4 linked regions of the Struthio camelus genome follow. The main gene of each other region encodes a partner of the protein of the gene in region 2 in a complex. Links are inferred from orthologs where the notes say so. Each region holds a gene or a part of one and is shown on either strand. Other genes may lie near its edges. The genes, in order: PPIH, PRPF31, PRPF8 and LSM7.

The links.
Region 1: PRPF31 (region 2) and PPIH share a complex: the UniProt entries of both Homo sapiens proteins name them as parts of the U4/U6-U5 tri-snRNP complex. The link is inferred for Struthio camelus from reciprocal best matches to the Homo sapiens genes PRPF31 and PPIH.
Region 3: PRPF31 (region 2) and PRPF8 share a complex: the UniProt entries of both Homo sapiens proteins name them as parts of the U4/U6-U5 tri-snRNP complex. The link is inferred for Struthio camelus from reciprocal best matches to the Homo sapiens genes PRPF31 and PRPF8.
Region 4: PRPF31 (region 2) and LSM7 share a complex: the UniProt entries of both Homo sapiens proteins name them as parts of the U4/U6-U5 tri-snRNP complex. The link is inferred for Struthio camelus from reciprocal best matches to the Homo sapiens genes PRPF31 and LSM7.

Annotation. Positions count from the first base shown.
Region 1 is NC_090962.1:12,645,783-12,652,940, forward strand, and holds the start of PPIH (peptidyl-prolyl cis-trans isomerase H), read right to left. Parts: upstream 3,001-7,158; 5' UTR 2,782-3,000; coding exon 2,716-2,781; intron 2,306-2,715; coding exon 2,241-2,305; intron 1,826-2,240; coding exon 1,802-1,825; intron 1,489-1,801; coding exon 1,444-1,488; intron 923-1,443; coding exon 880-922; intron 1-879. UniProt on the Homo sapiens protein: PPIase that catalyzes the cis-trans isomerization of proline imidic peptide bonds in oligopeptides and may therefore assist protein folding. Participates in pre-mRNA splicing.
Region 2 is NW_027182594.1:29,834-37,018, forward strand, and holds the start of PRPF31 (U4/U6 small nuclear ribonucleoprotein Prp31), read right to left. Parts: upstream 3,013-7,185; 5' UTR 2,943-3,012; coding exon 2,769-2,942; intron 1,768-2,768; coding exon 1,707-1,767; intron 1,549-1,706; coding exon 1,465-1,548; intron 1,309-1,464; coding exon 1,211-1,308; intron 1,095-1,210; coding exon 988-1,094; intron 895-987; coding exon 725-894; intron 638-724; coding exon 480-637; intron 406-479; coding exon 316-405; intron 224-315; coding exon 96-223; intron 8-95; coding exon 1-7. Other genes in the region: TFPT (TCF3 fusion partner), read left to right, coding at 4,657-4,902, 5,477-5,547. UniProt on the Homo sapiens protein: Involved in pre-mRNA splicing as component of the spliceosome. Required for the assembly of the U4/U5/U6 tri-snRNP complex, one of the building blocks of the spliceosome.
Region 3 is NC_090957.1:16,069,848-16,076,780, reverse strand, and holds the start of PRPF8 (pre-mRNA-processing-splicing factor 8), read left to right. Parts: upstream 1-3,925; 5' UTR 3,926-4,107; intron 4,108-4,224; 5' UTR 4,225-4,234; coding exon 4,235-4,334; intron 4,335-4,442; coding exon 4,443-4,611; intron 4,612-5,283; coding exon 5,284-5,448; intron 5,449-5,549; coding exon 5,550-5,768; intron 5,769-6,443; coding exon 6,444-6,656; intron 6,657-6,933. Other genes in the region: TLCD2 (TLC domain-containing protein 2), read left to right, coding at 327-704. UniProt on the Homo sapiens protein: Plays a role in pre-mRNA splicing as core component of precatalytic, catalytic and postcatalytic spliceosomal complexes, both of the predominant U2-type spliceosome and the minor U12-type spliceosome.
Region 4 is NC_090967.1:1,465,047-1,472,416, forward strand, and holds the start of LSM7 (U6 snRNA-associated Sm-like protein LSm7), read right to left. Parts: upstream 3,005-7,370; 5' UTR 2,894-3,004; coding exon 2,888-2,893; intron 2,545-2,887; coding exon 2,454-2,544; intron 950-2,453; coding exon 878-949; intron 1-877. Other genes in the region: SPPL2B (signal peptide peptidase-like 2B), read left to right, coding at 3,135-3,194. UniProt on the Homo sapiens protein: Plays a role in pre-mRNA splicing as component of the U4/U6-U5 tri-snRNP complex that is involved in spliceosome assembly, and as component of the precatalytic spliceosome (spliceosome B complex).

The sequences.
Region 1 (7,158 bases), on a different chromosome or scaffold from region 2:
AACTGTCAGCTACAAGGCAGGATCGTGTACCCTATTTCAGGGCCCAGTGTGGCCGTTCTTGGTCCCCAAGTAGCTTTATAAGAAGCGCAATTAATAAGTTACAAATACCAGTGCAACCTGTAAAGCTTGTTGAGCTTTAGTGAAAGTAATAAAGCCACGGGGACATTTGAGCAGCATGATGATTAGGACTAGCTGCAAACCCAATGTGACTAAGCCACACACTTTGCAGTCAGTTCTCTCAGCTTTCACAAAATTGAGTTTTGTGTTAAAAAGCTTTTTCCATCATCCCCCTCCAATTGCAAGTGGTTTGGGAAATGAAATAATTTCCCCAGGTCCTAGGGTAGCGAAGAGACCCAGTGATCATCCAGCATCTCCCCAACAGTTGGCTTATCCGAAAGGCACAATACTGTAGGTACAAAGTCTTTTCTACTTTGAGACAATTCACTAATAATAGAAATTAATTTTGATTTAAATAAATCCTGGACTAGACGCTAGGATTTATGCTCAGAGTCTCTCTCCACAGAGCCAAAAGAAATTTGTAGGGTTTCTTGCCTGGGGGACAGAAGAAAGGAGAAGGGCAACAGGGTAAAAATTCCCTGCAAGTTTGAAGAGTCTCTAATGATGCTATCATGCTGTTTTAAAGGGGAAATATTTTGGGAGAGAAGAAAACGTGCTTGCCCAAGTCTCCGGATTTCTTTCCAAGTACATTGTACTTGTACTGCTGCAGTAAGATCGTAGGAACATTGTAAGGAAACCTCCAGTTATTACTGGCTGCCTCATAAGAGAGCCAACAGATATTGCAAGTAAGCATGGACCTTGGGAAAGAGTCGCATATTATACCACGCAGCAAAAGTACAAAAGAAATACAGAAGTACATACGTTTACAAAGTCACCTCCTTGGATCATGAAATCCTTTATTACCCTACAAAAAGTAAAACGATACTTACTTCTCAGTCAAAAAATGCCTCCAGAAGCTTACTATGTCAGAAAAGGGAGTTAGTTCTCACAACCAAAAAAATCATAAGGGTCTGTAAGTACTACAATGCAAAATCTACACTGAATATTAACTACTGGCTGATATAAAGTAATTTGGGATCCACTGCTGTTAAACATGGGATAGATTAGGTGATATATGCAAGAACATAATCTCTGACCTGGCAGACCAGGAATGGGGGGACCCCCTGCAAAGTGACCCCTGTGTGTCAACTCAAAAGCTCCAAGGAGACCATGGTTTCCCTCTGGTATATCTGAGGGCAACCCCAAATCCCCCAATCCCCCCAAAGGACAGACATGCCAGAGGCTCTGGAAAGATGATACCAGCAGTGACCAGTCCTCCATGCTTAAAAAACACCTCCCAGACTAATAACACCTTTGAGGCAGCTCTCAAAACCAGGCCCAGCTCACACTGCTGTTTAAGCATCTAAACAAAAGCAGAAGAGTTACCTGTGGAAAGTGCTTCCCTTATAACCTATAGGGACACCATCTTTCCTAGGAGGAAATAAAAAGGAAAATCATTGCAGTTTACTGTATATCCCAACACAAAACTCTCCCATGGGATTTGCTGGCAGTGCCAGTTACAGCAACGTACCCAAACCCGTACCCGACTCTGGCCGCACCCAAAAGGGAAGGCTGGGTAAGTCTGCCATCCGTGTGACTGAGCCAGTCGTGTTTTCTCTAACTTTTTCGTTCTGTGTTGATGCACTAAGAAAAACTTCCAGGTGACCTCTCTTTCTAGTCCCCCAGCCCTCTGCTCATCTGAATATTTTTTAATACTATTTAGAAGGAGAATCTAAGCACATACCTGAATTCACCTGTACAAAACTGCCTGGAAAACAAAAAGTACAAAACAGCAGAGCATGAGTCACATTTGTATTCCTAGGAATGCCAAACCGCTGCGCTCTGAATGTTTTACAGAAGAAAAACTGCAGGATTGTCCTTAAAGCATCAGGAATACCACCAAGGAAAAGGGCAACTGTCAGGAACTGCTCATCGTTTCCATTTCAAAAGGGGCATTTCTGCAGTTGGGGAGGGTCAGCTGTTCAACACCGGGGTTGTAAGAGACGGCGAGCGTGGCGTGCGGCACCGTTTTGCACAGAGGGCAGGGTATATGAATGTCTACTGTGGGACTGAGATGACCACGGAGAGAGGCGCGAAGGGGATGCAGCGGCTCTGGCAAGGAGGTGGTTGCTCTTGCACCGGAAACGCTCCCGCAGCACGAAGCGGCGCCGGCTGCCCCTTACCTGAAATTCTCCGCCGTTTTGGGCACGACATCAGCGAACAGCTCGATTTTCATGCGGCCGACCTCCTGCGGGGGGGGGGGGAAACGTGGTCAGCGCAGCCTGCCGGACCCCCGCTGCACCCACCGGTATCCCCGCGTCCCTCCCCCGGCACCCGAGCAGCTCCCTCCAGTTGCACCTCCTGCGCCCCCCTACTCCTGCTTCACCCCTCACTGCGCCGCTGCAGCCGTCTCCCCCTGCAGCCCCCCCACAATCCCCCCCAATGCGCCCCAGCCCCCTCCCACTGCAGCTCTGCCCCCCCGAGACCTCCTCCCGCTGCAGCCCCCTCCCCAATGCAGCCCCCCTCCCCGCTGCGCACCCCCCACCACCCCCTGAAACCCCTCCCCATGGCGCCCCCTCCCCGCATGTAACGCCCACCCCCACGCAATCCCTTCCCCCCCCCCGCAGCCCCCCTCCCCCACGTAGCCGCCTCGCCCACCTGCCCGCCGATGGAGACGTCGAAGAAGACCACGGGGTTGTTGGGGTTGGACGCCAACACCGCCATGGCGCCCGCCCGCCCCCGGAAGCGGAAGCGGCCGCGGCGGCGCGGAGAGGTGCGCGCGTAACGGCCGCTCCCGTCACGGCCGCGCGCGTAACGGTCGCTCCCGTAACGGCTGCTCCCCTAACGGCCGCTCCTGTCACGGCCGCGCGCGTAACGGCCGCTCCTGTCACGGCCGCGCGCGTAACGGCCGCTCCCCTAACGGCCGCTTCCATAATGGCCGCGCGCATAAGGATCACGTGTATAACGGCCACGGACGTAACAGCCGCGCCCCTAACGGCCGCTTCTATAATGGCCACGGGCGTAACGATCACGCGTGTAATGGTCGCTCCCTAACGGTCCCTCCCCTAACGGCCGCTTCTATAATGGCCGCGCGCGTAACGATCACATGCATAATAGTCGCTCCCCTAACGGCCGCTCCCGTAATGGCCGCTTCCATAATGGCTGCCCGTGTAACGATCACGCGTGTAACGGTCGCTCCCGTAACGGCTGCTTCCATCACCGTTGCTCCCGTAACGGCTGCTTCCATAATGACCACGCACGTAACAGCCGCTCCCCTAACGGCCGCTTCCATAATGGCCACGCACGTAACGATCACGTGCATAACGGCCGCGGACGTAACAGCCGCTCCCCTAACGGCCGCTCCCGTTAACGGCCACTTCCATAATGGCCGCGCGCGTAACGATCACGCGTGTAACGGTCGCTCCGATAACGGCCAGTTCCGTAACAGCCGCTCCCGTAACGGCCGCTTCCATAATGGCTGTGCATGTAACGATCACATGTGTAATGGTCTCTCCCGTAACGGTCGCTCCCATAACGGCTTCCGTAATGGCCACGCGCGTAACGATCAGGCGTGTAATGGTCCCTCCCGTAATGGCCACTTCCGTAACCGTTGCTCCCGTAACAGCCACTTCCATAATGGCCGCGCGCGTAACGATCACGCGTGTAATGGTCGCTCCCGTAACGGCCGCTTCCATAACGGCCGCGTGCCTAACGGCCGCTTCCGTGTCAGCCACACGCGTGTATTGACTGCTCCTGGAGGGCTTGGCGCCCCGGAGCGGCTCTCCTCCGAGTTCCCCCTGCCGCTGTCTGCAGGCCTCGCGGGGTTGGGGCAGGAAGGAAAGGCCCGGAGGTGCCCCGAGGCGCCGTCCCCTCGCTGGCCTGCGAAGCCGTTGGCAGCTTTGGCCAAGGAGAGGATGAGGTGCGGCGAGGAGGATCTGCCAGGAAAGGAAGCGTGAAGAAGGCTGAGGTGCCCTGGCCTCCAGAGAGCCTGCTGGAAACGCGCTCGTTAGGGGTGGCTCGTTTCCTTCGCAAGACCTTGTAGTTCCTTCTGCTGAGCTTGGCTTCTTGGAAAAAGCTAGCCACCGCCTCTGGTTTCTTCTGGGATCCGCTTGTGCCTCCAGAGCAGGGAAGAGGCTGCGACCTCGGAGCCCCCTTCCCCTTTCGGATGGGAGGAGCCCCTCGTCCAAAGCCCTTCTCGTGCCTTCGTTTCAGCTCCAGACTTCTCGTGGGGTCAGCAGAGGGCTTCTAGTCGGATGTCAGGTAAAAACTCAGCTCTGCAGGCCCCTCCGCCGCGGGTCCTTGCGAGGATGCTGGTGGTGGTGGGGATGATGCTGGCATCTTGGAGCTTGGTTTGGAGCAGGTGGGATGGTGGTGAGCTTGTCTGACTTCAAGCATGGCATGTCTTCCTCTTGCTCCCCAGATGTTGTTAAAATTTGGGACAGCATCTCTGAATGCTACTGCCAAGCGCTGCTGCTGAACCAGGTGGGTCTTGTCTCCTCACCCTCCTTCCAACCCTCATGAGTGCTGAGCCCCCGCTTCCATCCTGCCATGGAGCAGCCTTATTCCTTGCCACCGCTGAAAGCAGAAGAAATGCCCCAGCAGGAGCCTGCAGTTTTGTGTCAGTTTTGCCCCAGAGCCACGTCTCCCTCAATGGAGAGAAAAAGCAAAGCCCAGCTGGAGAAGCAGACTGTGAGCTCGCTTCTTCAGGGCCTTCTCGAGCTCCTCCTGGCAGGGCAGAAAGCCTGGCGCACTGTGGAAGGCGAGTGCCAGCGTTGTTGCTGGCCCTGCCAGCTGCCTTGTGGGGACAAGGGGCCTAAGCGAGCCGCAGTCAGGCACGAAGCAGAGACGGGGGAGCGGGTTTGCCCCAAGGCCATGGAGAGCCCCAGGATGCCCTTGATGGTGAGTGTGGAGCAGCACGGGGTGGGGGCTGTGTTTGGAGTGGTTCTTCCCTTCCACTGATGCCATCTCCTCTTTGCTGCTGAGAGCAGGGGGTGTGGGGACGGGGCTGTGGCCCCCGCAGGCAAGACGTTGGCTGCTCCATGGAGAGTAGGTGGGGTGGAAGGGGGGGGCGAGAAGCCTCCCGAGGGGCTGTCTGTTGTGCTGCAGGGTGTTTGGGGTCTGCTGAAGGGCTGCTCAAGTCACTTTGTTGCTCGGTGCTTTGTTTCCAGCCTATTCCCAAGCTGTGGAGTTGAACTAGGCCCAGCTTGCACTGCGGCCGCACGTTCCGAAGGGGAAGGTGCTGAGACGTATAGAGGCGACCCTGAAAGTCTTTGTGTGGGCCTTGTCCACGAGCAAGGATTTGGACTTTGTCTTCAAGAACTTCAGCATCCTGGAGTGCTGATGAGATTCTTTGAAGACTTTATTTACAAAGTAGGTAGGACCAGGAACTTGGCAAAATCTTTCCTCAGCGTAAGTCGGGCCTCTTTTCAGCACTGCCTCTCCTGCTCCTGCTTCCTGGTCAAAGCCTTGGCCTGCCTCGTCCCCTGCGCTCGCCTTGATTTACAGGAACGCGAGCTCTCGGCAGACTTCTTGTCTGGCCTTCAGGAGAGACTTGGCGACACAGAAGCCCTTCTGAGAAGCTGTCTTTGGTCAGAGCAAAGATCCAGCCCGGTAGCCCATGTCCCTTTGTGCTAGGAAAGAGTATAAGCCCGGGGCAGGTTTGTCTTGGTGCTTCTCCCAGTGCCTGCCCTCCTCCTCCCAGAAAGCGACGCTGTAGAGATGCTGTCTCTGGGCAGGACGCAGAGGCACCAACGGACCAAGGCCCTGCCGTCCTGCTCTGCTGGTGTCGCTGCACTGACCAGCCCTTTGCAGCCTGTGCTGCAGTGACGGGTCTCGGACCGGGCCCCCCGCTTGCTGTTGTTCCAGCTCTCGGGGCTTTGGCTGTCCCAGGTTTCCCTGAGCGTGCCAGGGAGGAAGGAGGGCTGCGTGTCTCTCTTCCTGCAGCTACAGATGCAGCCGTTTGAGTGTCAGCAGAGACTTGGGGGTTGGCCGCACTGCTTGGACTCCCTGTTCTGTCTTCAGCAATGGTCCGTGCAAGCAAAGAGAGCAAAGGCAGCCACCAGAGAGGCCAGCTACCACAAAGCCTTGCGTCGTGCTAGCTTCCGTTGACTTCTCCTTTAGGCAAGACCGAGTCTCCTGAGGGAGTCTCCTGATTCTTGCCCTTGCCCAAAGTCTGGCAGTGTTGCTGCCCATTCTCAGGGCTTTGCTGGGCTGCAGGCACAAGTTGGGAGAGGGGCTGATGTTGGTGCAAGAGCACTTGGTGAGAGAGTTGTGGAGAGGCAGCTTCTCATGTGGCTGGTGGGCAACTGTTTGCCTTGTGAGCAAGGGGCTCATTTCCTGGGGGTGGCCTCATGGGTCTCGGTCTCTGTTGCAGAAGCCAAGGCTGAGGCCTTTGATCATCACCCACAGGGAGACGGCTGTTTTCCAGATGCCTGCTGGGGGGTGTCTTCTTGTTCCCACAGAGAGTAGGTTTCCTTCTGCAGCCCTTGACGGACCGAGCATGCAGCTTCTCATCTCCCACTTGGTAGAGCCACCGAGAGCTGCCGAGGGCCTCGTTGCCAGGGCTTGTCTCCTCCTGAAGCTAGCGGGGAAGAAGTTTGTCAGACGAGGGCTTCTCAGTGAAGTGCGTGGTCAGCCATGCTTTGTTGGGAAGCCCTGTCTGTTGGGGTGAAGTCAGCTGGAGGAGGGCCTGCTTTCTGTTCCCGCCCTGTGTGGGAGAGGAAGTTAGGCCCCACTTGGCGCAGAGCTTCTTGTGCTCCTGCCCTTTCTTTTGGCTGAGGCTGAAAAAGACAAGGCCCAGTGCCCAAGATCTTCCTCTTTCCTGCATGTGTCTTCTTCCGGAAAAGCATCTCTGAGAAGGTACATCCCAAGCAGGTGGAAACAAGAGCTGTGGTTGGGGCCTCTTGTGCCCTTCCCAGCACTGGGGTTGTGTGTACTCACCTTCCTAAGATATGTGCTGACCACATGCTGTCTTCTGCTTTGGCAGACCAGAGGCTTGACAGCAGCTCTCCACTCTCCCCGTGACCAGCTGCTTAGTGGAGGCTGCAAGAGCCTGTGCTGCCCCTTCTCGAAACCGCTGTCTCCTGCTTGTTTCCAGGTTTG
Region 2 (7,185 bases):
CCGGTACCTGGGGGATGGAGCGGAGCGGAGCGCGGCTCGCGGGCGGGACGTTCCCGAGGAGGCCGGATGCCCCAGGGAGACCCCCCCACGCTCACCTGCGGCCCCCCCGCTTCTTCCTCTGCCCGTCGAGCGGCGCCGGCAGCGGCTTCACCTGCTTCACGGGGGGCGGCTCCTGCCACTTGTCGAACTTGCGCTCGATCTCCTCCTTCAGGTCGTAGCCGACCTGCGGAAAGGAAACGAGACGGCGCAGAGAGCCCAGGTGTCCGGGCGTCCTCCCCGAATCCCCCCCTCGCGCCCCGAACCCCCCCCCCTCACCTTCCCGTCCTGGCTCTCGTGGAAGCTGTCCACCCGAGCTGCCAGGGTGCACTTGGCCGAGACCAGCCGCGCCGCCTTCCTCCGCAGATCCTGGGGGAAACGGGGCGTCAGTGCGGGGCTGGGGAGGGGGGCAGGAAAGGGGGGGGGCGCCGGGGACGCCATACCGGGGGCAGGGACTGCACGATGTCGCTGTGGTAGATGTAGCCGGTGTGGGGCAGCACCGAGGTGCTGGAGAAGCCCGAGAGCGTCTTGCGCTGCGCCCCCAGCAGCATGATGTTGCAGGCCGGCATCTTGGAGAGGTTGGTGAGGCCCCCGGCGATGCCTGGGGGGAGGCGGGGGGCATCAGGGAGCAGCCCCCGGCCCCAGGAGGGGCTCGCGCCGGGCGCTGGGGGCAGGCGCCAGGGCTCACCCATGATCTTGGCGGCGGTGGAGGCCCCGACGATGATGGAGAGGTTGGGGGCGATGAAGGACATGCGGGACTCCACGTACTCGTAGATGCGGTGCTTGGACTGGTTCAGCTCCAGCGCCATGTCGCAGGCTTCCTCGATGCGCTCCAGCTCCTCGTCCGTGAGCTGCTGCCTGCGGGCGGAGCGGCGACGAGGGAGCCCCGGCGTCCGGGCGCCCCGGCCCCCGACGGCGGTCGGCTCGCAGCCGCCAGCAGCACCGACTCACCCCTGGGTGGTGGAGGCCGTGACGCTCACCACCATGATGGTGGCGTTGGTCAGGATCTGCTGCACGTTCTCGTTGTTCTTGCACTTGTCCAGGCTGTTCCCCAGCTCCTGGGGGCAGACGGGGCGGGGGCAGAGGGCTGAGACGGGCCCCCGCCGGCGTCCCGGCTCCCCGCTGCCCCTCTCCGGAGCCGGCAGAGGCCCCAGGCGTCCCCCAGCCCCGCTACCTTGACGGTGCGGATGTAATCCAAGGCGTTGGGGACGAGAGACTCCAGCTCAGGGAAGCGCTTCGAGTATTTGTCCCGGATGAACTTGTGGATGATGTCTGGAGGGAGGCGGGGCGGGGGACGGAGCCCCCCCGCACGAGTCAGCGCCGCAGGGAGGAGGAGAGAGGAGCCTCCTGCCCCCGTTCAGCCCTCTGGGGACGCCGGGACGTCCCCAGCGTCGCCCCCCCGGCCGCCAGCCCCCTCCCAGCACTCACTGAGCTCGTTCTCGATCTCCACGGTGAGGTTGTTGGCGTCCACGATGACCCTGTACTCCGGAGCCGCCTCCACCGGCCCCAGCACTGCCGGGAGAGCGGCCGAGCTCAGGGCCGAGCCGGGGACAAGCACGGGGAGGGGGACGCCGGGGCAGAGCGCCCCCGCGTGGGGCAGCGTGGCCCCCCCAGGGCGGGGCAGAGGGCTCTGCCGTGGGGCTGGGAGCGGGGTGGGGAGGGGCCGGCACCTTCCGCGGCTTTCGGCTGCTTGCTGATGTACTCCTCGATCTTCTGCATGATCTCCGCGAACTGCGGGGCCGCAGGGCGCTGCGTCGCGGCGGAGCCGGCGGCCGCGAGCCCCGGCGCAGGGCAGAGCGCCCCGACCGCGGCGCCCCCCTCACGTCCTCCCGGGCCCCCTGCCCTCCCCTTCCTCCTCTTCTCCTCCTCCCAGCAGCTCCTTCTCCTCTTCAGGTCCCCTGAATCTTCCCAGGACCCCCCCCAACTTCTTCCTTGGCTCCCCACATCCCTTCCTCCATCCTCCCAGGACTGCTCCTTCTCTTCTTCCCGAGACCCCTCCCTTCTCTTCCTTCTCCCAGAATCCCCTTCTCTGTTCTTCCTGTTCCTCCTCCTCGCGGGACCCCCCCCTCCTCCTCCTCCTCCTCCTCGCGGGACCCCCCCCCCTCCTCCTCGCGGGACCCCCCCCTCCTCCTCCTCGCGGGACCCCCCCTCTCCTCCTCCTCCTCACAGGATCCCCCCCTCCTCCTCCTCCTCGCGGGACCCCCCCCCCCCTCCTCCTCCTCCTCCTCGCGGGACCCCCCCTCTCCTCCTCCTCCTCCTCCTCGCGGGACCCCCCCTCTCCTCCTCCTCCTCCTCCTCGCGGGACCCCCCCTCTCCTCCTCCTCCTCCTCCTCCTCGCGGGACCCCCCCTCTCCTCCTCCTCCTCCTCCTCCTCGCGGGACCCCCCCTCTCCTCCTCCCCCTCCTCCTCCTCCTCGCGGGACCCCCCCTCTCCTCCTCCCCCTCCTCCTCCTCCTCGCGGGACCCCCCCTCTCCTCCTCCTCCTCCTCCTCCTCCTCGCGGGACCCCCCCCTCCTCCTCCTCCTCCTCGCGGGACCCCCCCTCTCCTCCTCCTCCTCCTCCTCGCGGGACCCCCCCTCTCCTCCTCCTCCTCCTCCTCCTCGCGGGACCCCCCCTCTCCTCCTCCCCCTCCTCCTCCTCCTCGCGGGACCCCCCCCTCCTCCTCCTCCTCCTCCTCCTCCTCGTGGGACCCCCCCCTCCTCCTCCCCCCGCTCCCCCCGGGACCCCCCTCACCATGCGGCTGTCCCACAGCTTGGCGATGCTCTTGACCGAGTCCACGGCCAGGTCGAGCTGCGTCTCCTCCTGCACATCCTCGATGGCCGGCTCGTCCTCCTCGTCGGCGAAGTTCTCCTCCTCCTCCTCGGCCGCCTCCTCCAGGTCGGCCAGCAGCTCGTCCGCCAGCGACATGGCTCAGGCCGCCGCCGCCTCCCCGCGCCGCGTCGCCGCCTGACGACCTCACTTCCGGCCGGGCGCGCTCCCTCCGACGTCACTTCCCGCCCTCCCCAGCCGCCCTCGCTCCGTCATCATCGCCGCGCGCCCCCCCCTCCCGCCGGGACTGCGTCATCACCGCGCGCCGCCTCCCTCCGCACACACCTCCCCCCCCCCCAAACCGAGGCGGCGGCGGCGGGACCGCGGCGGCGACGGGTGACGTCATCGCCGGGTAGGGGGCGGGGCCGGGGGGGAGCCGGGGGGGAGGGGGGCACCGGGGGGGGAACCGGGGGTGAAGGGGGCACCGGGGGGGCAGAAGGGGACCGGGGGGGGAACCGGGGGTGAAGGGGGCACCGGGGGGGCAGAAGGGGACCGGGGGGGGAACCGGGGGTGAAGGGGGCACCGGGGGGGGCAGAAGGGGACCGGGGGGGCACCGGGGGTGAAGGGGGCACCGGGGGGGCAGAAGGGGACCGGGGGGAGCACCGGGGGGCAGAAGGGGACCGGGGGGGGAACCGGGGGTGAAGGGGGCACTGGGGGGGGCAGCAGCAGAGGGGCATCGGGGGGGAACTGGGGGGTCAGAGAGGCACTGGGGGATACCGGGGGGGGGACACCGGGGGGCAGGGGGGCACAGGGACCTCAGGGGGGGTCACTGGGGGTAAAGGGAGGTACTGGGGGGTCACTGGGGGTGAAGGAGGCACCGGAGGGGGAGGGGGAGGAAGGGGGAACCGAGGGGGGGGCAGGGGGCACTGGGGCCTCGGGGGGGTCACTGGGGTGAAGGGGGCACCGGAGGGGCACGGGGAGGAAGGGGGGAACCGAGGGGGGGGCAGGGGGGCACTGGGGCCTCGGGGGGGCACTGGGGTGAAGGGGGCACCGGAGGGGGACGGGGAGGAAGGGGGGAACCGAGGGGGGGCAGGGGGGCACTGGGGCCTCGGGGGGGTCACTGGGGGTGAAGGGAGGTACTGGGGGGGGCACTGGGGGTGAAGGGGGCACCGGAGGGGCACGGGGAGGAAGGGGGGAACTGGGGGGGGGGCAGGGGGGCACTGGGGCCTCGGGGGGGTCACTGGGGGTGAAGGGAGCACCGGAGGGGCACGGGGAGGAAGGGGGGAACTGGGGGGGGCAGGGGGGCACTGGGGCCTCGGGGGGGTCACTGGGGGTGAAGGGAGCACCGGAGGGGGGACGGGGAGGAAGGGGGGAACCGAGGGGGGGCAGGGGGGGCACTGGGGCCTCGAGGGGGGTCACTGGGGGTGAAGGGAGGTACTGGGGGGGGGCACTGGGGGGTGAAGGGAGCACCGGGGGGGGGACGGGGAGGAAGGGGGGAACCGAGGGGGGGGTCACTGGGGGTGAAGGGAGCACCGGAGGGGCACGGGGAGGAAGGGGGGAACCGAGGGGGGGGCAGGGGGGCACTGGGGCCTCGAGGGGGTCACTGGGGGTGAAGGGAGGTACTGGGGGGGGCACTGGGGGTGAAGGGAGCACCGGGGGGGGACAGGGAGGAAGGGGGGAACCGAGGGGGTCCGGGGCGGAGGAGAGAGGGATCGGGGGGGGGGGCGGGCAGTGAGGAGGAACAGAAAGACCCCTGGGGGCTGAGGGGTGCTGGTAGGGGGGGAGGTGTAACGGGGCCCAGAGGACCCCAGCGGGGGGGGGGGGGCAGCAGCGTCACAGCAGGCCCCCCCCCACCCCCCGACCCCGCAGCGCCATGGCGGGGGTGGGCTTCGAGGAGTTCTCGGCGCCGCCGGGCTCGGAGCTGGCGCTGCCGCCCCTCTTCGGGGGCAACATCCTGGAGAGCGAGCTGGAGACGGAGGTGGAGTTCGTGGACGGCGGCCTGAGCGGCGACGCGCGGCCCGAGCACGAGCGCGAGCGCGAGGAGAGCCGCCGGCGCCACCGCGAGCTGGCCCGCCGCAAGCTCCAGGCCCTGGGCCGCCGCTGCCGCGAGATCGAGCAGGTCAGGCCCCGCCCCGCAGGCCCCGCCCACGATAAGCCACGCCCCCAACATGGCCACCGCCACCCCTTAGCCCACCCACCCACACACTTTGCCTTTGGGGCTGTTCCTATTTGAGAAGCGCCTTTGCTTTCCCCTTGTTCTCATCACACAGGCCCCGCCCACTCCGGGCAGGCCCCGCCCCCGCGCCCAAGCCCCACCCACTCCGGAACAAACCCCGCCTTTTTTATCTGGCCCCGCCCACCACACGGGGGAGTGGCCTCTTGGCTTTCAAGTAGCCCCCAAGTAGCCCCGCCCTTTCCCAGGATGTGGCCCCGCCCCCTCTGTGGGCAGCCCCTCCCACTGCAAGCACAGCCCTGCCCCCTCAACTAGCCCCACCCACACGCCTAGCCCCTCCCACAGCCCCGCCCTGGTCACGCCCCCTGGGTTGGCCACGCCCACTTCAGGCAGCTCGTCCTGCTGCTCCCCAGCTCTGCCCCTCCCTGCATCGCCCCGCCCACACAGCTAGCTCCGCCCACTGTCCCCATCCTGGCCACGCCCCCGGCAGGGGCTGACCCGCCCCCTTCCCCCCCCCCAGGTGAACGAGAGGATCCTCAACCGGCTGCAGCAGGTGCAGAAGATCACGCGGCGCCTCCAGCAGGAGCGGAGGTACGGGGCCGGCGACACCGCCTACAGCGCCGGGCACCGCGCACCGACACCGCGCCGACACCGCGTACAGCGCCGGGCACCGCGCGCCAACACCGCGTACAGCGCCGGGCACCGCGCACCGACACCGCGCCGACACCGCGTACAGCGCCGGGCACCGCGCGCCAACACCGCGTACAGCGCCGGGCACCGCGCGCCGGGCACCGCGCGCCGACACCACGCTGACACCGTGTACAGCACCGGGCACCGCGCGCCAACACTGCGTACAGCGCCGGGCACCGCGTGCCGACACCGCGCCAACACCGCGTACAGCACCAGGCACCGCGCGCCGACACTGCGTCGACACTGCATACAGCGCTGGGCACCGCGCACCGACACTGCGTGCCGACACCGCGCCGAAACCACGTACAGCGCCGGGCACCGCGCGCCGACACCACGTACAGCGCTGGGCACCACGCGCCGACACCACGCCGACACCGCGTACAGCACCAAGCACCGCGCGCCGACACCATGTGCCAACACCATGCCAACACCGCGTACACCGCTGGGCACCGCGCCGGGCTCCGCGCCAACACCGCGTACAACACCGGGCACCACGTGCCAACACCGCACCAACACTGCACTGACACTGCATACAGCGCTGGGCACCGCGCACCGACACTGCGTGCCGACACCGCGCCGAAACCACGTACAGCGCCGGGCACCGCGCGCCGACACCACGTACAGCGCTGGGCACCACGCGCCGACACCACGCCAACACCGCGTACAGCACCAAGCACCGCGCGCCGACACCATGTGCCAACACCATGCCAACACCGCGTACACCGCTGGGCACCGCGCCGGGCTCCGCGCCAACACCGCGTACAACACCGGGCACCACGTGCCAACACCGCACCAACACTGCACTGACACTGCATACAGCGCTGGGCACCGCGCACCGACACTGCGTGCCGACACCGCGCCGAAACCACGTACAGCGCCGGGCACCGCGCGCCGACACCACGTACAGCGCTGGGCACCACGCGCCGACACCACGCCGACACCGCGTACAGCACCAAGCACCGCGCGCCGACACCATGTGCCAACACCATGCCAACACCGCGTACACCGCTGGGCACCGCGCCGGGCTCCGCGCCAACACCGCGTACAACACCGGGCACCACGTGCCAACACCGCACCAACACTGCACTGACACTGCGTACAGCGCCGGGCACCGCGCGCCAGCACCTCGTACAGCGCCGTGCACTGCACACTGACACCACGTACCGACACTGAGTACGGCACCGTGCACCAAGACCGCACTGACACCGTGTGGTGACACTGACACCGCATACGCTACCACGCACCAACACTGCACGCGCCACCACACACCGACACTGCATACGGTACCACGCACTGATGCCGCGCACGGTGCTGCACCAACACCGTGCGCGGCACCAACACCGTGCACCGACGCGGCGCGCTGACGCTGCGTGGTACCGATACCACCCAGCCCCCAACACCGCGCGCCGATGCTGCACGGGCTACCGTCACCGTGCACGGCCCTGACATCACGCGTGACGTCCCGCAGGCGGCACTGACAGCCGCGCGCAGTGTCCGCGCGGTGCCGTCAGCCTGCGCGCGGTGACAACAGCCGCCCGC
Region 3 (6,933 bases), on a different chromosome or scaffold from region 2:
ACTTTGTAGAAATGTCTCCATCTCCTCCACCTGCCCCTTCTTCCCACCAGAAAAAAATACTCGGGCCTTGTGCGAAGGTGGGGAGACTTGATCTCATGCTGGAGGTGGCAGGACCAGCTGGCGGCTGAGATGCTGCAGAGATGTAAGTGGGGGGATGACCAGTAGTTGGGCACTGGCATGACAATGGTTTGCACCTCTGCTCCATGTTGCACCCAAACACGAAAGTCGCTGGCAGTGACTAAGAGCTGCTGTTCCTGCAACCATCTACACCCTCCTGAGGAGACAGCAGCTCCCCGGCTCAGCCTCCCTTCTTTTGTCTTTCTCAGGTGATCGTCTGCTTTGGTATTGCAGTGGTACTCCATCAGTACGTTGGGTTTGCCCTCATTGCCTTGCTGGTGGAGATTAACTCCATCTTCCTCCACCTGCGGCAGATTCTGCTCATGGCCAACCTGGTGCACACCACCTGCTACCGCCTCAACAGCATCGTCAACCTGGGCACCTATGTGGTGTTTCGCATTGCCACGCTGGCCTGGATGACACGGTGGCTCTTTCTCAACCGGGAGAACGTGCCCCTGGCAACGTACACTGTGGGCACGGTGGGCATGGCAATCATGACGCCCATGAACATCATCCTCTTCTACCGCCTGCTGCGTAGTGACTTCTTCAAGTCCAGCAAGGAGGTGCAGCAGGACAAGGAGAAATAGCCCCTTTCTCTGCAGGGTCCAGGGGATGAGCAGCCCTGAGGCCTATGGAAGAGGACAGCGAGGAAGAAGAGCAGTGGAGAATGAGCACGGATATTTCAGTATCTTGCTTGGAGGATCCACACTAACCAGAGCACCTGGGCTGCTCCAGTGGCTGCAGATCCCAGGCCCCGCGCTGTGGAAAAGGCACTTCCAGACCAGGCGCTTGGGGCCCTGCTTCCCCTGCACCTTTGATGACGTGGTTGGATGCCTGGGAGCTGCTCAAAGAAGCCTCGACAGGTCTCGCAGCTCCGTAAGGCCACTGCTGAGATGAAAAGGGAGCGAGGAGAAGACCATTGTCTCCCTGCTGCTCTTCCAGACAGCCGAAAGCTGCTGTGTGTCTCTGACCCCTTCGGTGCTACACCCTGCAGCATCCCACAGGCTGGGCACCAGCACTGCCCAAGGGCCAGCCCAGCATCACAGGGACCTTGCTGCCAGCCCTGTGCTCTCCATGGCACATCCCACCAGGCAGGAGAGGCGCCAAAGCTTCACCCTCGAGGCCAAGTCCAGCAAAAGCCAAATCCTGCACGCGAGTCCTCCCTGAGGAGATAGTCCCAGGTGGGTGATGGAGGGAGAGGCTGAGGCCAGCCTGCAGCAGGTGCAGCCTGGGCACCAGAGCCCTGGGCAGTGGGTGCTGTGTCCATGCGCTCGGGGATGGGCTGCTGACTCCTCTTGGCACCTGGACATATTTTCAGTGTTGCTTCATTCCCAGGTGCAACAAGTCCCCCTGCACAAGCATGGGAAGGAGCAAACTGCTGGCCAGGATGGGGCTACGTGGTGATCACTTCCCACGGAGGAGGGGTCGTCAGATGGGCCAGATTTGGGCATCTTTTAGGAATGAAGAGTCCTGCTGCAGAGCCTCCGTAACACTCTTGTGCGGCAGCAAGCGCTCATACTAACACAAGCTTTTAATAAACAGTTGCAAATGAAATAGCTTGAGGGGAAGGGGCTCAGAGCTGGGCAGGTCCTCACGTTGCCTTTTTCCTCCTGCTTCCCCTGCGCTGCGCTGTTTGCAGTGGCCCAACACCTTGCAGAAAAGCAAAGTCATCCCACTCAGAGTTACGTGTGCCCATTTGGAGAAATCCGCTGGGTCTGTCTGTCACACTCTCTTTGGGGCAGATCACCCTGAATGTGCGATTTCTCCATTGGTTTGAAACAGCAGGGAGACAGTCTGCAGCTACTGGCAATGCACTGCTGGGGGTGGGTGGCTTCTGCCTCGAGGAGGAAAATAAGGGCTCAGACACATTTCTGTCCAGAAGGAGAAAGACAAGCGACACGTGTGGGTAGTGGGATGCTGGAAACGACTCGTGGCCAAAGCTGCTTATGTTTCTATTTGTGGACAGTGCAAGGAAGCTTGCAGGTGCAGGGTTTGGGTTTGTCACCTCGGGGCCCACGGCGGTTATCAAGTGCCCGTGTGCCTCACGTACCTCCCAGGCAGGGCTGAGCAGGCAGCCAGCGCTCTCTTTTGGATTTGGCCCATTTCTGCGCAGTTTTTCAGGAGCTGCCCTTTTCGCAGCGCAGCTGCTCGGCCTCTGCACCCGTCCAGCAAGGCTTGCTCTGTCCTCCTGCTTCTGCCCACGCCGGGCACGTTTCTCAAGGCCTCAATTGTGTTGTCGCATTCCTGCCGTCACATGGATATCGTGTACCCCAGGCACGCGAGGACAGCCCGGGTTATGTTATAAAAGGCACCCCCCCCCACCCCGGACTGGCACATGCTGCTTTTCTAGATACATCACCTACCGAGCAGGTGCGTACGGAGGATATCGCAGCAGGAGGTTGAGGCCAGGGAAGCCCTGTTTTGGGGGACTCTCTTAGCAGATGGGATTTTCCTGCAGTGCTCATGGTGGCTTTGCAGCTCACTGCAGCCAAGCGCTTGGGTACCTGATGCTTACCTGTCCAGAGGAAAAATGCTGTGGCCTTGATTTTGGGAAGGGAGCCCAACCCCCACCCCTCCAGGGCTGGGTTAACGGGGCACGGACAACCTCTCCCCTTTCCAGCACCCCTGCCATGCCCAAGCCCTGACGCCAGTGACCGCCTGTTGGGTGGCTGCGGTGCATTAAGCCCGCTTGTCTTTGCAGCGCGTTGTACCTCGCGCTTTCACAGTACACTGAACCAGCTCGGAGGGCTGTGTGACGGCACGCCGTTCCCGGGGGGCCAAGGAAGGGGGCCCCGAGGACGGTGGCTAATTGCCGACGCACTGACGGCCCCGGCGTCAGGTGCTGGCGGGAAGGAGGTCCTGCGCTCCAGCCGTGGGGTCTGGGCTGGGTGGGAGGAGGTGTCCCTCCCTGGGGGGGGGGCTCTGGGGCACCCCATGCTCCGGCCCTGTGCGGCGCTGTGGGGTGGAGTGGCCCTGGACCCGAGGAGGGGAGATGTGAGCACCATGGGGCCACGTGGGCTGGCCAGCATGCACTGCCATTGCCATTGCCCTTGTGGGGGGCCCCCACCCCACAGCACCCTATGGAAGTCCCCCCTTGGCCCACAAGGCCCCATGGGTGGCAGCAGCACCCCACAGAGGGTCCCCCTCAATGCCCATAAGGCCCTATGGGAGGCTCACCCCAGAGCACTCTATGGAAGGTCCCCAGGTCCTCCTCACCCTACAAGGCCCTATGGGGGGGCCTTGCTCCTCAGCACCCCATAGAGGGTCCCCCCTGCCCCACAGCACCCCATGGGGGTGTCCGCCTCAATCCCCACAAAGCCCAATGGGGGGGCTCACCCCACAGCACCCCACGGAGAGTGCCCGAGATCCCATGGGGGACCCCTCGCCCCCCCAAAGCTCCCACAGGGGGCCCCCATCACCCTACGAGGCCCCATAGGGGGCTCCCTCGCCCCCCAGCATCCACCAGCCCCCCATGGGGGGGGGTTCCTCTCCATCCCCCCAAGGCCCCATGGGGGGGCCTCACCCCGCAGCACCCCAGGGAGGGTCCCCTTCGCCCCACGGGGTCCCATGGGGCCCCTCGCCCCTAAAGCACCCCATGGGGGTCCCCCTTGCTCCCCCCCCAGGGGCCCCCGCAAGGCCGGTGGCGTAGGTGAAATAGGCCAGGCGTTGTCCAATCAGCGCCGCCGCCGTGCTGTCGCCGCCGTCCCCCCTCCACCAATCGAAACGGCGGGAGGGCGGGACCGGAGAGGGAAGGGCTGCCTATCGGAAGTGTACTCCAGGCACGGCTTCCTTTCCTCTTCTGCCTCCTGTCCCGCCCCGCACCCCGCCTCCGCGTTCTGACGGGCTGCGGCAGCTGCCCGTGAGGCGGCTCGGAAGCTGATTGGAAGCTCCTCCTGAGCGCGCCCCGCCCACATCCGGGGCTCCGAGGCGCGGTGGCGACGGGCCTGGGCCGCCATTGTGGTGGGGAGTCGGGGGGTGTCGCGGGAGCCGGTGAGCGCGGGCGGGGGTCGGGGGGTCCGGGGCGGGTGTGGGGAAGGGGTCGTGGCGGCGGGGGGGGAGGTTAACGGCAGCCGCCTCCCCGCCCTGAGCCCGGCTCCGTGCCCGCAGGTGCGTCGCCATGGCCGCCGTGTTCCCGTACCGCGGCGGCTGCGCCCCGGTGCCCAGCCCGCTGGCTCCGCTGCCCGACTACATGTCTGAGGAGAAGCTGCAGGAGAAAGGTGGGTAGGACCGGTCTCGCCGGCCTCGGCCAGCCCCGGGCCCTCTGTGTCCCGCCTGGGCCGGCCCCGCAGGCCGGGCCTGACCCCGCTGTGCCTCTGTCCCCGCAGCCCGCAAGTGGCAGCAGCTGCAGGCCAAGCGCTATGCGGAGAAGAGGAAGTTCGGCTTCGTGGACGCGCAGAAGGAGGACATGCCCCCCGAGCATGTCCGCAAGATCATCCGCGACCACGGTGACATGACCAACAGGAAGTTCCGCCACGACAAGCGCGTCTACCTGGGGTAACGCAGCCCCCTGCTTGGTCACGGTGGGCCTGGGTGGCACAGGGGAGCTGCGCCCGGTCCTCCTCTGCTGCCTTGTCAGAGCTCCGAAGGGCTTTCCGTGTCAATTGTGTATAGAAAACAGCGTAGTAACCTGAGGAAGACATGATAACCAGTTGCACTGGGATAGCAACACAGAAGAGTATAAGCAAAGGAAGCGGTTGCTTTGAATTTTTGAGAAAAACATTACCCTGAATAACAGACAGGTCTTAACAGGAGCTTGAGGAAATGTGTAAGGTGGCCAGTGCACGTTCTTTGGACATCTAATATGCACCTGTGCTTCTTTGCTATTTGGGCTCAGAGAAGCATCTCATGCAAATTGGGATCCTTTGCACTAACTTTCAGTTACCTGTAGAAACTCATTTGAAATTGATTTTTTGGGATGGTACTGTTCTTAGCATGTAACATCCTCTCTGAAGCTAAATCAGCAGAAAACTTTTTGGTGGCAAGATCTGTGAAGCACAAGGATAGACTGGGTAGGAAGTTGGATTTGTCACTGGAGACCTTTATGAACGGATCAGATGAACAGTTTTCGGGAGTGAAATATATATAGTTAGTTAGGCTTTCAGCAGATGGATGGCTAACTTCTTGAGATCCCTTCCAACTCTGTTTTTCTTTGATTTCTGTTTGTAGTGCTCTGAAGTACATGCCTCATGCAGTTCTAAAGCTCTTGGAGAACATGCCCATGCCTTGGGAACAAATCAGAGATGTTCCAGTCTTGTACCATATTACAGGCGCCATCTCTTTTGTGAATGAGATTCCTTGGGTCATAGAGCCAGTGTACATTGCACAGTGGGGGTAAGCACCTTCTTCCTTAACCCTCATGGGAAACTTGCAGATAAACGCTCGTGCAACTACGCTAACGTAGTGCTGTACGTAATGGTCTCGGTTTCTGCCAGGTCAATGTGGATTATGATGAGGCGAGAGAAGAGGGATAGGCGTCATTTCAAGAGGATGAGATTCCCTCCGTTTGATGATGAAGAACCCCCTCTGGATTATGCTGATAACATCCTGGATGTAGAGCCCCTGGAAGCAATCCAGCTTGAGCTGGATCCGGAGGAAGATGCTCCTGTGCTAGACTGGTTCTATGACCACCAGCCACTGAAGGACAACAGGAAGTATGTACCTCTTTCTGATGAAACAGTTCACTGCAAAAAACAAATGAAAAAGAAAACCTAAAAAAACCAAAAAACCCCAAAACATTACAAACTAAATAGGCCTACTGCTATATGCAGACTTTATAGACCCTTTGGTCTTATTGTACTGGGCTATGTATGATGTTAGTGGGGAGAGGAAGCCTTCGCTCAAGGATGCAAGGAGGAATCTGACTGCTTTGAAACTAGTCCTCTATCTTCAGCGTCCATGGAGAACAAGCAAAGTGTCTCTGTTCAGGAAGGCTGCTGCCCAGTTAACTGGCTAAAACTGGAGTTTTTCCTTTCATGCCATAAATTTGAAAACCTGAATTGTCAGATTGGAATTTAAATTGATATTTGTTAGGAGTGCACTTACGCCTCAAAGGCTGTTGAATATGACTTCAGGTGTTGGTGTGTCAGTCTGGATATGGAGGAGGGGAATTGGTCCGGTCAGTAACTGCTAGGTGGTTGTGGTGCACAGTGGTCTTAAGCAATCCTTCCACCTTCTCTTCTGTCTGGAGGGACCCATGAGTTAGCTGTCTTTAACTGTTTTCTGTAAATGACAGGCAGTGAAAGGTGTTTGGATGGTCTTGGCTCTTTGGTAAAGGCCCAGTGTTCTCTGGCTGTGTAGTGAGTGTCTCGTGCTTTGTTCCTTCACAGGTACGTAAATGGTTCTACATACCAGCGTTGGCAGTTTACGCTCCCTATGATGTCCACGTTGTACCGGCTGGCCAATCAGCTGCTCACTGACCTTGTGGATGATAACTATTTCTATTTGTTTGACCTGAAGGCATTCTTCACCTCCAAGGCACTGAACATGGCTATTCCTGGAGGTCCCAAGTTCGAGCCTCTTGTTAGAGACATCAATCTTCAGTAAGTGCTGAGTTTAGGAGGAAAGATAAGGGGTTATCTGGGTAAGGGCTGGGAAGGTTTGTGTGTTACCACGTGGCTTGCCCTGGGTGAGCTATACCTGGGTGTTCTCTCTCTGCATAGCATAAAGTTTGTGATGTGCTTGCTGCTTAAAAGACTGAATGGTTGTTAAGGTCAAGAGGAGGCTCAGGGAAAAGGGCTGGCATAACACCTTTGGTCAACGATATTTGCCTTTCTGTCCTACTTGAATGCTTGTATGACAACTTCTTTTTGTCTCATT
Region 4 (7,370 bases), on a different chromosome or scaffold from region 2:
TCCAAATACCCTTTCAGACAAACATTTGGGCATCAATGCAAATCAGACAAAGACCCTGACTACAGAACGCACTAAACAAATTCCTTGTTCGTCTGTGCCCAGACTGAATCAAGCGAGACAATGGATGGGGACAGACAGATGAACATTCTTAACACAGCAAGAGCCAATTCTACACTCCTTAAGATGTCAAAATATTTTGTAAAAAGGCACTAAGCTCATCTTTCAAAATTCCCTCCTAAGAACAAAATTAAACTTTGAGATGCTTCCTTGCAAACAGGCAAGGGAACACTCTAGAAAACAGATTGCCCCCTAACATGAGAAGACGCTTTCATTTAAGGGAGCAAAAAGGGGAAGAGGAACATTTGTGCTTGCAGGGGAAAATAAAACTAAAAATCACAGCTGTGCTAGCCTTAAGAGGTTATAGAAGGCTTTAGTTCCACAGAAATGCAAAGATCGCACTAACAGAACAGTTTAAGACAGTAAGATACCAATTTTTACTGAGTTTTTTTTCATGCTGTGTGTGAACTGGCCTCCTCCAATGGTATACACAAAGTGAAAGGCAACGGCCTCATTTAAGAGGACAGAAGCTACTTCATTCAAGTGCTGGAGGACAACAAGGACCAGATGGGTTATAGGGGAGGTCAAAAAGGACTAATAAGAATCCTCTACCACAAGCAATGCCCCTTAACCTAACCTCTGTTATCTTAACCCTTCCTTTAAGCATAGTTAACTGTGAACAAATCTCACTTTGGATGATCTCAAGCTGCAGTTTCTGGTTATTCAACTCACAGAACAGAATGTTTTTTATCAAGCGAAATATTTGGGGGCAGGGGGGAAGATTTTTTTTTTTAAAAAACACAAATCGCATGTTACTTACCTCTCATATATTCAATGGTACCATCAAGCACAAGGTTCAGAAGAGGGTCAAATCCTTTCAAGACTCCGCTAGCTATTAAAGACCACACAGAAAGGAACGATTAGAGACACCCCCTGCCAAAAAATAGGACTGTGGCAACACAGGACTCAGTTCTCCAGTTCCAGGCCCTCCTCCCTCAAGCAAGGCTATCAAACAAGCCAAGCCAGAGATATTAAATAGTGCCCTCTTTATCACAATGCAAATGTAAAAGCACAAGCTGAAACCGGTCTGTGTTGTGTCAATGGAAGCCTTCAGGTTTTTCAGCCAGTTCTTCAAAATGTTCTTCAAAACTTTTACATTTTTGTTATCAGTCAATTTCAGGGGCATTTTAAGAATACCTCAGCATACAAATCAACACAATTTATATCATTAAAAAAAGCTCTTAAGGAAGATGAATGGGAAAATGAACCAAGAGGATAATATTTAAGTGTTTTCCTCAGGTGACCCATCTTCCAGGTGTCCTGTCTTCCGTCCTGAATTGTAATCTTTTCAACATAAGTATTGCTTTTATAGGGATACATTGCACAGAGCCAAGCACTTTGGCAGGAAACCAAATACGAATCTACAAGACTGGTCAGTAAAGAAACTGCAGGACTGCACAGAATAACTTTCCATCTTGAAAACATCTATTGATTACCAGCATTACGATCATTGCTAAGACACTAAACCAAAAGATATGACTCCCATAATCCTATTTAAAAAAACAGAAAGAAACTTGGAGCAAATTTTTTGATAAGAAAATCTAAACCAATAGAACTAATAGAATTGTCAATTGCCCCCAAAAATACAAAAAACCCACTGATCAAAGATTCCTAGTAACTTTCAAAACTAGTAAGCATCCAGAGCAACTGGGAGTTTGAAAATGGTATTTTAAAACAAACTCAGCTAGCCTTGCAAAAGCTTACGCAGAGCACTTCCACACAGCATGTGAACTGTCAGACGAACAAGTGTCTGCAGATGGCACTATCAGCTGCTTAGTGATGGATATATGCTAGCAGAGCAAGGACGGATGAAAGGGGAGGATACAAGAGCCTTGAAAGTGACGAAAAGATCTTGTAAAACATGTTAGAATAATCTAGGAATTCAAAACAACAGGCAGCACATTCAGGAAGTTAACAGATGAAAGGGAAGACAGATGTGTTGCTCTGAAGCTTTGTTTCTTTTGTGCTTTAAGTGCATCCTTGCAATAAAAACAAACAAATAAACAACCCCCACCAAAAACAGCCAAAAAGATACTTTAAGAAAACCAATGGAAGATGATGAGAAAAGGACACAAAGAGGATGAAACACAAAGATAAAATAACAGTGATGGGGGCTACTGGAAAGATTAAAGGCAAAACACAATAAGAAGCTTCATACCTGTAACAGCAAATAGCAACAAAGAAAAGAATCCATTACTCATCTTTTCTTGAATGAAGGCAATATGATCACATAGGAGACAAAAGTTGACACAGAAGAGGAGGAAAAAAGCCAAGATGCAAAGTATGCTGCAAATTCACGTGCCTCACTACCAGCCAAGTGCTGCCCGTAGGCTCACCTTCTCTCCCACCTTGGAACTTCACTCGGATTGTTTTGTCAATGTATTTGGAGAGGTCCAAAATACTCTCCTTCTTCTTTTTCTCCTTATCCTAAGGAAGTTGACCAAAAACAAGCTAAATTAAAACATCTCTGCACGCACACAGACCCCGGGTGGGGAACCATACCACTAAGGCAAACCTCCCCCAACACAGAGCTAAAAGCGAAGGCGGAGCGGGGGAAACGGCGAAAAGGCACAGCGACCCTCCGCGCGCGGGCAGCACGGGGCAGCCGGGCCCGGGCATCTCCCAAGGCTGGGAGACCGCAACTACACGGCCCCGCTCGTCGCCCTGCAGCGGCCGCAGCCACGGAAAGACGGTGACGAGCCCAGACGCCACCTCCGCGTGACTGCTCCCTAGGCGAGCACGAGCCCCGCAGCCCCCGCCAACAGCTTACCGCCATCTTGCTCGCGCCGCCACTGTCCTCTCCCCGCCGCTTGCCATTTCATTCGCTGCTGCCAGAAGCAACGTCAACACCACAGGCCATTTCATTGGCTGTCCACAAGGGCGACTCGCTCCTCCAGCAGGCGTGGGGCGGGACTTCCGGAGCGGGTTGCCGTGTTACCTGGTGCGGAAGGGGGCTCGGCCCGGCCCGGCCCGGCCCCGTCGGAAACAAAAGCGGGCGGCGGCGCGGCGGGCCCGGCATGGCGGCAGTACGGCAGGCCTGGCTCCGGGCCTCGCTTCTCCTGCTTTTCATTGCGCAGGTGAGTGGCTGTGCCGTTCCGAGGAATACTCTGGGCCCGCTCTCTCTGCGGGGCCCGGCGAACCCTACCGGGACGGAGCAGCAACCGGGCAGAGACTGGGCGTGGGGCAAAGCCTGGCTCTGGTGCAGGACAGATCCCAAGAGCCCGTTGGGGCTGCGGGGACTTGGGGGGGCTGGTACCCGGCCTCCGCTGAGCCGGAAGGACGGCCCCAGTGGTATGAGGGGGCCGCAGCCGTGCTCCCGTAGTGGGAGCGCGGTTCCGGAGCCGCCTCCCGGGTGTTAATGACCGACTTACAGTATTTTCTTGCTGGACGAAAGAAGAAAGCATCGTTTTTACCCCAAACCGGGCTCAGGTTTGTGTTTTGTGTCTTCCCCGATTTACGTGTTTCTTAATCTCTTTTCCTGTGGTTAGCAAAATATTTGTCGTAGCTCTTGCAACATCGGTTCCCTGTGCTGCTAGCAGTCTTCTCCAGGTGGTCCTTTGGGAAGTGTGCCTAAGCCACTGGATGGGGCTGGGATCAGGGTCACTGCAGCAGGGAAGGCTCTTGGCTTTGAGTTCATCCCAAGCAACAAACTGCCTCTGAGAAAGCAGCTGTTGTAAAGTAAAGCAAGGTTTCTGCTGAACCTGAAGTTATAGACTGTCTTGATTTTTGTCTTCTTGTTCCTCATCTGAACTGATACCTTTTGTGGGATAAACTGTATTTCCAAGGGTCTTACAGGAACAAGCAAAAATTTTAAAATTTCTTTAAAAATCTCCCCACCACCACCCCCAAACATGCATACTGATTCCTTGCCAGTGATGTTTACTTGCATAATGGGCAGACTGCCAGCTAAGTTCTTTTTCTGTGCATCACCTGCTCCCTTCCTCTGTGCTTGCCTGTCCTGCACACTGTTGGTGTCTCTAATAATCCTTCAACTAGACTAGTGCTGCCAGCCTGGAGCCCTCAAATTAATATGAGAGAAGATGTAAGAATGGGTCAAGGACTGGCATGGAGTCATTTTTTTCCATCAATTTTGAAAGGGTGACCCCCATGAGAGTGTGGAAAGATAGCAGGTAGGATAGTCCAGTGGTTGAGCCCTGACACTTGAAGGTCTTGGCTTCAATTCCATGCACTGCAGCTTGCTTCCTTTCTGTAAGCAAGTCATTTAGTATGTTTGTGCAGCAAAGTAGTGTAAGCATGGTTGAGCAAGCTTTGAACAAGTCAGCTGGAATACTGAAACAGTCATGCTGCAGCAGCAAAGAGTTAACTTACTATATGCTGCTAATGTATTTCTGCTACCCAAGCTAGCTCATTTACAACTTCTTCGAATATAAGTAGTACTGTCTGTTTGGTGTATTGGGAGTATATCTTTCTTCCTCTCCCTACTGAGAGGTGGGATGGCCTTTTTCAGAAGATGGTCCAGGTTTGCTTCTGAACTGAATTAAGTAGGGAGAAGGAGCAGGCTGGCTAGTGAAGTATGGTTCTCCTAAATATAGATCCTCATCTGGAAGCAGCAGAAGAGGGGTGCGATCTTAGAGATCCAAGTACAATCTACACCTAGAGATCTTGTTTTGGCATCTGAGTCCTCACTTTTCATTTAATTTCCTGTCATTCTCACCTTTCCTTCATGGTTTTGCCATCTCTTGGTTGCTCTGTAACAATAATGAGGTATAGGAACCTTTGACTAATGCAGAATATATAACACAATCTACAGTGAGCATGTTAGCTCACTGCCATTAGCTAGCTGCCATTATTTTACTAGCTTTTGGTAGAATATTGAATTGAGGTCGTGGTTTCTGTTTTGTAAAATCAGTGTTCTGTGATGCAGGTCCAGTAGGTCCAAGAGACTTCCTGAAGTTCTAGATTAAGATGGCTGACAACTTAATCACATGAAACTGTCACATTATGAATAGTGTCAATTACGAACTCTCTTCCCACTGTACAGTGCCTGTTAAAGGAGTATTGTCTTTGTCTGCAAATTTGTTGTCTGCTATTGATAGTCATTGCGTTGATTATGCAGCTCACAGGGGAAGGAACGCACCCCACCTCCTGGTAACTCCACTATTTGTCTTGCATGGTTTCCGCTGTAAGAGTAGGCATAGCTCATTATATCTTTTTTTTTTTTTTTTTTTTGGAAGGAGGGGGGAGGAGGAGCTATATTCCCTGAAGAAGCAATAGTGTCTCTTAAATCTCTAAGACAATTTTATCCATTGATGAAGTTGAGGAAAAGCTGTACATGCAGTATATTCTAATAAGGGAAAAAAATTAAAGAATTAGAAACAAATTACTCTAAGTTGCAAAAAGAGGGGAAAAAATACAAGTCAATAGCAACCTGGAAATTGTGTTGTGTTTTCCCTGGATTTTTCTCCATGTGCTTTTCAGCTGTCAGAGCTATGGGTCATTCCCAGTCCTTGTGGGTAATTGCCATGTAGTATGGGATTTCTCTTGGTTGTTGGGACTGCCTGAATCGCAAACAGCACTTCATTCTCTGTTTATCTTTGTGCAGAGGAAGCTGCTGCTTATGGTGTAATTCTGTGAACCAGTGTCTCCAAGGTAATAATTTTTCTTTTCCTGTGCTATAGTGTACATCATTCTTGTGTCAGCATCACTGTTCACCCAGATTGTGCTAGAAACTGCATGATTGGAGTGACACAGTTAAACTTTTTGAGGATTATTTTTAATTCTTGTTTATTAAAAGGACTTGACTTAAGACCAGCTCCCCAGACAGCTGTGTTGACACAACTGAGATGACTATGAACTCAGGGAGAGGGTTGTGAATAGGCAACTATTTCTGCCAGCTTTGCTGCTGAAACCAGCATCTACTAGGACTGTATCCTCAGTTGTTCAGACTGGAGGATTGTGGTCATAAAGCACTGTCTTCTCTCCTCCCACTATTGCCATACAAATTTGTAATCCTAATTAGTGATACAACTTCTCTGTGTATACTCAGATTCATGTGACCTCCTTACAGTGTAAATTGCTCCTTCTAATGATCTCTTATCCCTTTACTGTACAATGTCATGCCTTAAAGGTATACAGTTTATATCTGTTCCTGTCTTGCCTCTTTCCTCTTACTGTAGATGTGCAAAGGTTTCTATAGGTACCTGTAAGTTGAATCACTCCACTGCACAGCAGGAGAAGGTGGCTTTTTTCTTGTTCTGTAGGGCTCAACTTGAGCTAAAATTTGTTGAACAGTAAGCCAATACTGCAGTTCTGTGGTGAACTGGATCAGAGAATTAATACAGCTGACAAACACTGAAAAAATAAGTATTTATGAATAAATGTGTTATTTTTCAGTGGAATCAATTCAATGATCCAAGTCACTGTAGATGCACAACTCTATTTGCACAAAGAGGGGTATCACGTGAGAAGAAATACTTTACAGTAGGCAGGAAAGGGCTGGTGCTGCTGGTAGCGATGTCGTTGTCTTCTGCCTTAAAACATTAGCCTTAGGCTGTAGTTCCCTGAGCCAATGCCACTGGAAAGGTGAGATTGTTCATACTCATTTCCCAGCTCTTTGCTCCCATTACTACCTGTGTGCCAACTCTTGCTTGTCAGGTCTCTCTGAAATGATAGAGTTAATGTAATTGCAACTAGCAGTAGCCTGGCATGAAAAACTGATAGTGAGCTCAGTCAGCTCATAGTGATCTAGCAAGTATCACAGGTGGAACAAGTGTGTCTGAGGTGCCCAGATGAGTCTGGAGATTAAGGGAGGGAGGAACAAATGGCAAGAGTGAGCCATGAGGTTTGCTCAGCCTTTCATGTCACAATTCCATGAAATGCAGATGTGCTAAATTTCTCTTTGCCACCTTCTTCACTTCTTCCATTACTTAATTTGTGAGCCCTAGCGTTTGTCCAAATTCCATTAACTCACCAACATGACAAAAAACTAACTCAGGAAAAAAGTGGTTTGCTCTCTTAATGTGTTAAATAGGCCATGGAAGGGTCTGATGAGGATCAGAGCAAGTAAGTGTGCCCTTCTAATGGCTGCAAACAGACTGGCTTAGTTGCCTGTGTAGTTACACCCTCAGACTTTATGCTTTTGTTATGTGAAAGCCCTTTCCTAGTTTTGCAGTGTCATGTAAAAACACCTCACTTGTTAATTATGATTCTAGCAAATTTCCAGCTTTGCAGAGATCTTACTTGTGACATGGCACTGCTATTGAATATGGGTGCCTGATTAGTAAGAGTCTTTA